Linked DNA regions of Drosophila melanogaster. The gene in region 1 interacts genetically with each later gene. Each region holds a gene or a part of one and is shown on either strand. Other genes may lie near its edges. The genes, in order: Bsg and sicily.

Region 1 (5,028 bases):
CAGCACGAAAAAAAAACTCAATTAATACACCTTGAATGTGAAAATAGCTGCATGGGGCTAAATAATGTACGAAACAAAACAAAACCAGCCAAACGTTCAGTTTAGCGAAAAAAAAAATCAAAATTCATGAACATACGTAGGTTTTGGTAGTGAGCCAGAGCCAGACGGACATTCAGATATTCAGACGGACGGACGGATAGATATGTAGATAGATGGATGTATGGAATAAAGTAGAATAGGTAAATGGATAGTATGCATAGAATAATAAATAGATGGAACCGCCCGCGCGGGCATCATAGACAAATCCCCAAGGAAGGTGGAAGGTGCGAGGCGGGGCTGCCCAGTTCCATATGTAAACAAAATGCAGGCCACCGTTGCCGGTTCGTATCGGGTACGTATCGGGCACGTATCGGTTAATCGGTAAATCGATTCGTTCTGGTCCGCTTCGCTTTGGGTCGGCTAAAGTTAATATAAACAAGCGGGGAAAACCAGAGACAGGCCGTAATTATTGGACCGCATGTAAAATAGTCTTCTTAAGGCTAAACAAAAATTCTTAAAGATAGCCCTCACTAGAACCGAAATGAACTTGATACTCTGCTTTTGCGTCTGCTTCTGCTTCTGCTCCTCTGCTTTTTTTTTCCGACATTCGCCGCTGTTCTCTTTCAGCAATTGTGTGGAAAATTGAAAATCAAATGAAATGCGGTCGCGCGAACAGTGGAAAAGCGACGGAAAACCTACGACGAAAACGGCAGGGGGAAAAAACATAAGCAACAATGTCAATATGGCAGCACTGCAATCCAATCCCAAGTCCATCCAACCGACCCAACAATATGAACTATAAAAGCAACACGAAAATATCGAAGTCCGCTTAACTAGAGGGCAAAACAGTAGAATGCAGCACAGAGACCTTGTCCAAAGTTGGAAAATGGATGGTGGGTGGCTCGTGGGTGGCTGGTGGGTGGATGGTGTCCCGTGCAATATGAAAAGAGAATACATAAAGCCGGGCAAAAAAGAAATGTGATTGTCCATTTTGTGGTTCTATTCAAAGACGAGAACGTGAACGAAATAAAAGTTTCATTTTTAAAAGCGCGGACTCAAATATATTAATATTTTCGAATATCGCTGGTAAAACCCATTTGTGTCTTGTGGCTAAAGGACCAGCAAAGTGCCCCTTTCTGAGATCCCCTAATTTGAAGAATTATCGATACATTTCTCCGATAACTTTACCATTGATTTAAGTCGCCTCGTATTAATACTGTTTGTTTCCATTATTGCGGCTAGGGTCTGGCTTTAGGGTGAACTTGGAAGGGGTAAAAGTCAGGTGGTGGGTGGACGAACACCCTCGCCCTTTGGTGGGTGCACTTTTGTTTTGGGTGGCGGGGCAATTAGGGGGCGTGGGATAAGGTTAGTGGGTGTTACAGTAAGCCACAAACAATCTGCTGTTTTTTATTTATTCCCTTCCTCCTCTTGCTCCACCTCTTTGTTTTGCTTTGTTCGGTTCGGTTGTGTTCTGTTTTGCAATTTCTGCTATCACAGCTGCAGTTTAACCATACTTTCCCCCATATACATATGTATGTATATTTTTTGTATTCCTTTATACTGGGCTGCTACGTACATAGGTGTGTTAATATTATATGTGTGTATGGGTGGGTGTGTGGTTGGGGCAGGGTGATTTTATGGGCGGGGTACAACTTATAGGTTAAAAGGGCCTTCTTTGTTTATCATTATGCTTATTGTAGGGGGTTCATTCTTTTAGATTTAGAGGGGTTTTTTCGGGGGGCTGTACTCACCAAGTGATTGAGCATAAATCGCTAAAAATATCGAGAGGAATGAAAGAGCGCTAGCCAAGAATTTTGCCTCCATCTTTGGTATTGATCCGTTGTTGTTGTTGGTTGTTGTTAATTATGCTGCCGATGTGTGGTTGTTGTTGTTGGCGGTGACTTGTTGTTGTTGTCGTTTTCGTTATTTCCTTGTCATTTGCATTTATTACAGATTTGTGAATTTACTCCGTTTAATGATTGATTAATTATTTGTGGCTGTTGGTTGGTTGGTTGTTGATGTTGTTGTTGGTTGTGGTGTTTCTTTTTCTTTGCTTTTCTTATTTTTTTTTTTTTGTACTTTAAGCTTAACTTACTAAATCATTATGGTAAATATTAATTTATAAATAGATCTTTAAATGTATACGTTATTAGGCTTAGTTATTTAATTTGATATTAGTTGATGCTGTTGATGTTGTTGGTTGGTTGTTTGCTTTGGATCTTCCGTTTGGTGTTTTGCTTGAGTGCGAATTTTTCTATTTTTTGGCTCTTCCAGCTTTCCTATTTTGTTCTTAATTCATGAAGCTATATTCGCAAATAAAAATATTTAAGAAAATTTCTCATTTTGCATTTATTTTCGTATGAAGGCAAACTTTTCGTGCGCTTCCCCGTATTCTTTTTGTTGTGTTTTTCGTTCGGTTTTATTTGTATGCTTTTTTCCAACAACAAAGGCAAAAGGAAAGACGAGTGAGAGAAAACTTTTTAAAATTATACATCAATATTCAAATTAAGAAGAGATTGTGGAGAGGAGCGGAATCAAGGATACAAAAACAAATCGAAAAGATCAAAATCAAAACGAAAGCCGAACGAACAACATTCAACATTCAGCTAAATGTATAATTTTTCAAATGTCACATTTAATTTTTTTTTGTTTTATTTTCACTGCAGCTAAGCACGTGCTGTTCACATAAGTGGGGCGGCGGGTGGTTGGGTTTTTCTTTTAGCCCGCTAATTTAACGTTAACTTTTGCAGTTCTTTTTTCACACGCACTCACACAAACGCACATCTAACTTTTCCCAGTCCAAAAGTTCTATTTTTTTGCTGGCTAAGCAGAAAAAAGAAATTATGGCACGTTGACGACGAAAATACTATTTTTCTGGCTAGCCAACGAGCAAAAGAGAGGGAGATAGAGTGAAAGCAAGAGAAAGAGAGTGAGGGATTCTTGAGACTGAGAGCAAATAATTATGTTTTACACAAGGAGCGCAACAATTTCTAGCTGCTTTTTAGCCAATGGCCATTGTTGTTGCTGCACGTACTTGTACTAGTGTAGTTGTTGTTTCTGTTTGGCTGTTCTTGCACAACGGGAACACAAAAAGCAAACGAAATTTGGCAAACGGACGGGCCAAAACGAGGCAAACAGAACAGAGCGAACAGAGCGAACGCGGCGAATTCAGCGAGCAGACTGAATCGCACACATGACCAACGGACGAGAGTAGCCGCCTTCGCTGCGGCAGCGACGTCGACGCACAGTGATTTGGGTTCAGTTTGACATACACTTGTCAGCTTATCTAAATAGTTCGGCCGTTATCTTGACCAGACCGATTACGAGTACTGTACAAAATGGCGAAAAATAAATCGAGTTTAAACGACATTTTTTCATTATACAGGAATCTTTAGGAATTTGAAATCACCTGTTTTATTTAAAACAAAATGCAGAAGCTAGGTCTGACTTCAAGCTACTAAATTAGCTAGAAACTTAAAAAAAATTTTAAAACCATAAATTGAGTTATTAATCAATATTTGCTCTTGGAAACCTTATCTTACAGTTCAATAGGAATTTCCCAAATTGACGGAATTACAATGTACTTGTGCTCGTATGGGCCTGAAAGTACGCTACTTTTATTCACTTTTCTCTCAGCCTATAGAAGCACTTAAGGAACAGTATCAAACAAATTGCAATCGAGCAATGATTCAACAAAAATCACCAAGTGACAGAGTCTGCGAGTAATTACGACCAATTATTTGACGATCGAAGAAAAATAGCATTCCATTTGCTTCACCGCATGACGTCCGCATAAAAGCTGATAACAATTGGCCCGAGATCTATTATTACTTCTAGAATTTCGTATTGCGGATGTGTCGAGAAAACAACTATTCCCACTCTTATCAATGCGGGAGGACAGTCACCGAGTAAGCAGAATAGATAAGAAAAAAAAAAGGGTAGAAGCTATCACCAGAGCTGGCCGATTTCATTATCCATGAACATTAGCTTTAAAATTCCTCAACTGACGAAAGGCATCAATGTTTGAAAAACAGCTAAAATAATAAACCTTACATAAGAATTAAAATTCTTACTCGTTTCTATTTCCCCCCAAAATAAAAGCCATAAAACACGTAAACATTTTTGAAAGCAATTGTGTTATACAAGGAAACAGCTCAAAAAAAACTAGTCAAAATAAATTCTCAAACTTTTGGCAATAAAACCGTCGAACGGACAACGCTAAATCATAGTGCGCTGGATTTTTTGTTTACCGCCAGACGACGTGCGGCCCTCAGCAGAGCAGATAGAACGCCAGTTGAAATGTTTCCGTAACGTGTCACGAATCCGACTCTCATTCTATCGCATTAAGATAAAGCCCCAATGCAGTACTTTGAACAAATACGGGACTCCGTCCGTCCGTCCGTATCACCAACACCAATACTACCGCAACCAAAAACCACACCAACGTCTTGGCCACATGATATAATACCGTAGCCGGAGCATGGTCGACAACGACGTCAGATGTCCGCGGCCCAGTCGCCGAGTCCCAAAGACCCAGACCACCAGACCGTCCAAACTGACCGCCTCTGGTCCATTGCCGTCCCGCTCGCACTGCCGCTCTGGTTTCGGGCGGTTCTATGCGGTTCGCACACGAATGTAGATCTCCATCTTTTCGGAAGGCAGGGAACTTTGCTAATTCGGCATGGGTGTTGGAAAGGTAGGGGTTTTTTGCGGGTTGGCGGCATCGAGGGGGGTTGTCTCGTCGCATTTATTATTGGTCAGCCGTATTTATTTTTACAAATTTGCGAGAGCAAATATGAAATCAGCTGTTCGCATTGCCCGCTGAGATTAAAGCGATCAGGGGGGTATATAGTATTTGATGAGGTGTTTCCAACAACCAAACCATAGAGAACATTTTGCAATGCTTGCAATGAGTTCATAAATAATAAAGAAGCAAGAAGAGTCATAGGACTTGTAGTTGACAATAGAAGTACTAATAATTGACAAATT
Region 2 (4,631 bases), on another chromosome or scaffold:
ATACTAACAACCCCTATCACTTTAAAACGGATTTTGTAAAATTAATTTTTGGCCAAATTTTCACATTTTTTGTAAGGGGTAACATCATCAAAATTTGCAAAAAAATGAAAAATCCTAGAATTCCCAAACTTGAATGCAAATCGATTGGGATTTAAAAAACAAACTCAACGAGGTATGACATTCCATATTTGAGTCATTATTTTCAATGTTTTGATCAAAATACCGAATATTTTTTTCACAAAAAATCTGGGAACTACTTTTGGCAAAAAACTCAATTTTCAAGTTGGCTCTTTTGGCTATAACTTGTCTAAAAATGGTCACAGAGCAAAAATAATTACCATTTTATACTCCTTATGACCAATACTAACAACCCCTATCACTTTAAAACGGATTTTGTAAAATTAATTTTTGGACAAATTTTCGCATTTTTTGTAAGGGGTACCATCATCAAAATTTGCAAAAAAATGAAAAATTCTAGAATTCCCAAACTTGAATGCAAATCGATTGGGATTTAAAAAACAAACTCAACGAGGTATGACTTTCCATATTTGAGTCATTATTTTCAATGTTTTGATCAAAATACCGAATATTTTTTTCACAAAAAATCTGGAAACTACTTTTGGCAAAAAACTCAATTTTCAAGTTGGCTTTTTTGGCTATAACTTGTCTAAAAATGGTCACAGAGCAAAAAGAATTACCATTTTATACTCCTTATGACCAATACTAACAACCCCTATCACTTTAAAACGGATTTTGTAAAATTAATTTTTGGCCAAATTTTCACATTTTTTGTAAGGGGTAACATCATCAAAATTTGCAAAAAAATGAAAAATCCTAGAATTCCCAAACTTGAATGCAAATCGATTGGGATTTAAAAAACAAACTCAACGAGGTATGACATTCCATATTTGAGTCATTATTTTCAATGTTTTGATCAAAATACCGAATATTTTTTTCACAAAAAATCTGGGAACTACTTTTGGCAAAAAACTCAATTTTCAAGTTGGCTCTTTTGGCTATAACTTGTCTAAAAATGGTCACAGAGCAAAAATAATTACCATTTTATACTCCTTATGACCAATACTAACAACCCCTATCACTTTAAAACGGATTTTGTAAAATTAATTTTTGGACAAATTTTCGCATTTTTTGTAAGGGGTACCATCATCAAAATTTGCAAAAAAATGAAAAATTCTAGAATTCCCAAACTTGAATGCAAATCGATTGGGATTTAAAAAACAAACTCAACGAGGTATGACATTCCATATTTGAGTCATTATTTTCAATGTTTTGATCAAAATACCGAATATTTTTTTCACAAAAAATCTGGAAACTACTTTTGGCAAAAAACTCAATTTTCAAGTTGGCTTTTTTGGCTATAACTTGTCTAAAAATGGTCACAGAGCAAAAAGAATTACCATTTTATACTCCTTATGACCAATACTAACAACCCCTATCACTTTAAAACGGATTTTGTAAAATTAATTTTTGGCCAAATTTTCACATTTTTTGTAAGGGGTACCATCATCAAAATTTGCAAAAAAATGAAAAATCCTAGAATTCCCAAACTTGAATGCAAATCGATTGGGATTTAAAAAACAAACTCAACGAGGTATGACATTCCATATTTGAGTCATTATTTTTAATGTTTTGATCAAAATACCGATTATTTTCTTCACAGAAAACTGGGAAACTATTTTTGGCAAAAAACTCAATGTTTAAGTTCGCTTTTGTGGCTATAACTTGACTAAAAATGGACTCACAGCAAAAAGAATTACCATTTTATACTCCTTATGATCAACACTAACCATCCCTTTAACTTTTTAATTGATTTTGTAAAATTAATTTTTGGACAAATTTTCGCATTTTTTGTAAGGGGTACGTACCATCATCAAAATTTGCAAAAAAATGAAAAATTCTAGAATTCCCAAACTTGAATGCAAATCGATTGGGATTTAAAAAACAAACTCAACGAGGTATGACATTCCATATTTGAGTCATTATTTTCAATGTTTTGATCAAAATACCGAATATTTTTTTCACAAAAAATCTGGAAACTACTTTTGGCAAAAAACTCAATTTTCAAGTTGGCTTTTTTGGCTATAACTTGTCTAAAAATGGCCTCACAGCAAAAAGAAAAGAAGTCAAGAAGATTACGCATGGCAAAAAAGCAATATTTACGGAAGATAATGTATTTATATACCTAAGCTAAGCTTTATATGGTAAACTACCTAAGCTAAGCTATAATAATGCATTATAAATTTACCAACAAGTCACATACAGCATTTTGAATCTTCCGCCAAATGAAATTTCCGCGTAATCGCGAATACCCCATATGTAGTAACTTTCTGACAGACCGAGTGCGATCTGGCAGCACCGCTCAGAACATATGTTCAGTTGTCTGGTGGAAAGAAGAAGCACAGATGCGGCGCCTGGTGCGAAATTGGAATTGCCGATTGTTATTTAACGCCAAATCCGGCCAAGAAATTGTCAGCCATGCCGGAATTCACCAGGAGGCCAAGACCAATGCGATTCCCAGGGAAAAGAAAGTGATTGAGGCGGACAAGAATGGATACGGGGCCAAACATTGCATGAGTCTAGTGGAGTAAGTAGCGCAAACTTGTCGATTGAAGTTATCCGTATAATTGAACATGGATCTATTCCGGATAACCAGGAAATACGACTACGAGAACTACCTGTGCACCTTGCTCCTACCACGGGAACTGCGACGTGCTGCCTTCGCCCTACGGGCATTCAATGTGGAGGTCTCCAGATCGGTTAGCGGCCATGTGAGTGGAGCATCGAAATTCCTTGGGGCTTATTTTTTAAGTTAGAATAACGTGGCGCCTTAAATTCAGACTCCGTTCAGACTCTGTTACTCCGCATCAATATTATTGTAAGCATAAGTGGCTTATGTCCGCATCTCATGAATATTATTACCATTTCGAACGGTTTCACAAATCTCTTAATTTCTTATGTACACTGCAAGAGTATAATTTCTCTCCTTCCTTTAAAACGGATAGAGAAATTCGTAGAATAAGCAACACTTCGTAGTTTTTAAACTTCTTATTTCTGTCCAGTAAAATCGTTTATATAATGACAAATATCCTTGCAGCAAATTGAGCCGCAAATAGCCAAAATGCGCCTTAAGTTCTGGCACGACTCCATAGACAAGTGCTTTGAGCCGGATTCCCAAAGATCGTACGTGGAGGACCAGCCTGTCCTGCGCGAACTGAAGCACACGGTGGGCAGTCGCAAGCTAAATAAGGTATATTTGCGCCGTCTGGTCACAGCACGGGAACGTCCGCCCACGCATGCATTTGAGTCGATACGCGAGCTGGAGGAGTACACGGAACAGACCTTCTCTTCGCTATTGCTCCTGCTGTTGGAGGTGGGCGGAGTGCGTGACCTAAATGCTGATCATGCCGCCTCCCACTTGGGCAAGGCCCAAGGCATCGCCACCCTGCTGCGATCGATACCGCTGGCAGGACGTCAGCAGGCGCCCTGCATTCCGCTCGAGGTGCTGGTGCTGCATGGCGTCAGCCAGGAGCGCATCATTCGCTCTAAGAGCGACGACAAGGGTGTCGAGGACTGTATATTCGATGTGGCCAGTGCCGCCAATACGCACCTAAAGCTCGCCAGGCAGCTGCACGATAAGGTGCCGCCGCAGGTGCGCAAGATCTTCCTCTCCGCCGTGGCCACGGATGCATATTTGGAGCGCCTCCGCCGTGCCAACTTCCTGTGAGTTCCTTTGTTTTATATTGCTTTGTTTTATATTACGACAAACACAGGAGAGAACCAGCTTCTTTTTGTAGTTAAGATGTTATTTTTATCCAGTTATAAGTACGATTTGCCTTTATTGAGACTTCTTTATTTCAAAACCTAGCTATAGTTTGTTGGTTGTTCAGTATTCATGGAGCGGACCCTTCTTTTTATCAATCCCCATAATAATATAATAATTTTCCCATCTTATAGGCTAACCCACAAGAGCTGCGTAGGCCGCGACACCTTACTGCCAGCACGTTTATTCTGGAAGTCGCTGCTTAATCGGTTCTGATAGCGATTATGTTAGTATGTAGTACGAAATAAATTCTTCATTGTTGACTTCTTTAATAAAAATCACTTTAAAATAAGAGCTCTTACTTTTTCTCGAATCAATAGAAGAGGATTTCCAATGTTTATAAGAATACGAATATGAATCGGATCGGGGATCTTTTGGATGAAATGGGTTAAGAACGGTTGCAGGAATATCGCTATCTCGCTTCGAATCGGGACGTAATTACTATCGATGACAGGTGCACCAAAGGTTCGTCCCGACGAAGGTATCGGTGGATACGATGCAAGACCCGATTGGTACAGTAGTTGCTAGCTGATTTCAGAGCGTTTCAGGCGCAGTTTTAGTTTTTTATGAATGTTAGAATTGATGTGGAAAGTGTGTGTTGGATATTAATGAGAACGGAGCAGTGCGACGATCGCTCAACAAGATAAGCACCGTTTGTTTTTGGGCCCGTTTCCGGCTTCCGGTTGCTAGTTCCGGAAAAATTGCAACGCCTACTTTACGCGTACTTTTGGCATGGTGAGTTTTTGGCGCGCTTTCTTCGCACTCCTGGATTGAACTTTGTAAACCCAGA

Evidence for each region.
Region 2: of Bsg (region 1) and sicily, changing one suppresses a phenotype caused by changing the other (phenotypic suppression), as found in Drosophila melanogaster (one study listed by BioGRID).

Annotation. Positions count from the first base shown.
Region 1 is NT_033779.5:8,086,499-8,091,526, reverse strand, and holds the start of Bsg (basigin), read right to left. Parts: upstream 3,224-5,028; 5' UTR 3,011-3,223; intron 2,918-3,010; exon of another isoform or gene 2,822-2,917; intron 2,425-2,821; exon of another isoform or gene 2,134-2,424; 5' UTR 1,864-2,133; coding exon 1,791-1,863; intron 1-1,790.
Region 2 is NC_004354.4:11,889,615-11,894,245, forward strand, and holds sicily (severe impairment of CI with lengthened youth), read left to right. Parts: upstream 1-2,117; 5' UTR 2,118-2,423; coding exon 2,424-2,605; intron 2,606-2,674; coding exon 2,675-2,789; intron 2,790-3,115; coding exon 3,116-3,741; intron 3,742-3,975; coding exon 3,976-4,057; 3' UTR 4,058-4,131; downstream 4,132-4,631. UniProt on the Drosophila melanogaster protein: Involved in the assembly of mitochondrial NADH:ubiquinone oxidoreductase complex (Complex I) at early stages. Interacts with cytosolic Hsp90 to chaperone the Complex I subunit ND-42 in the cytoplasm.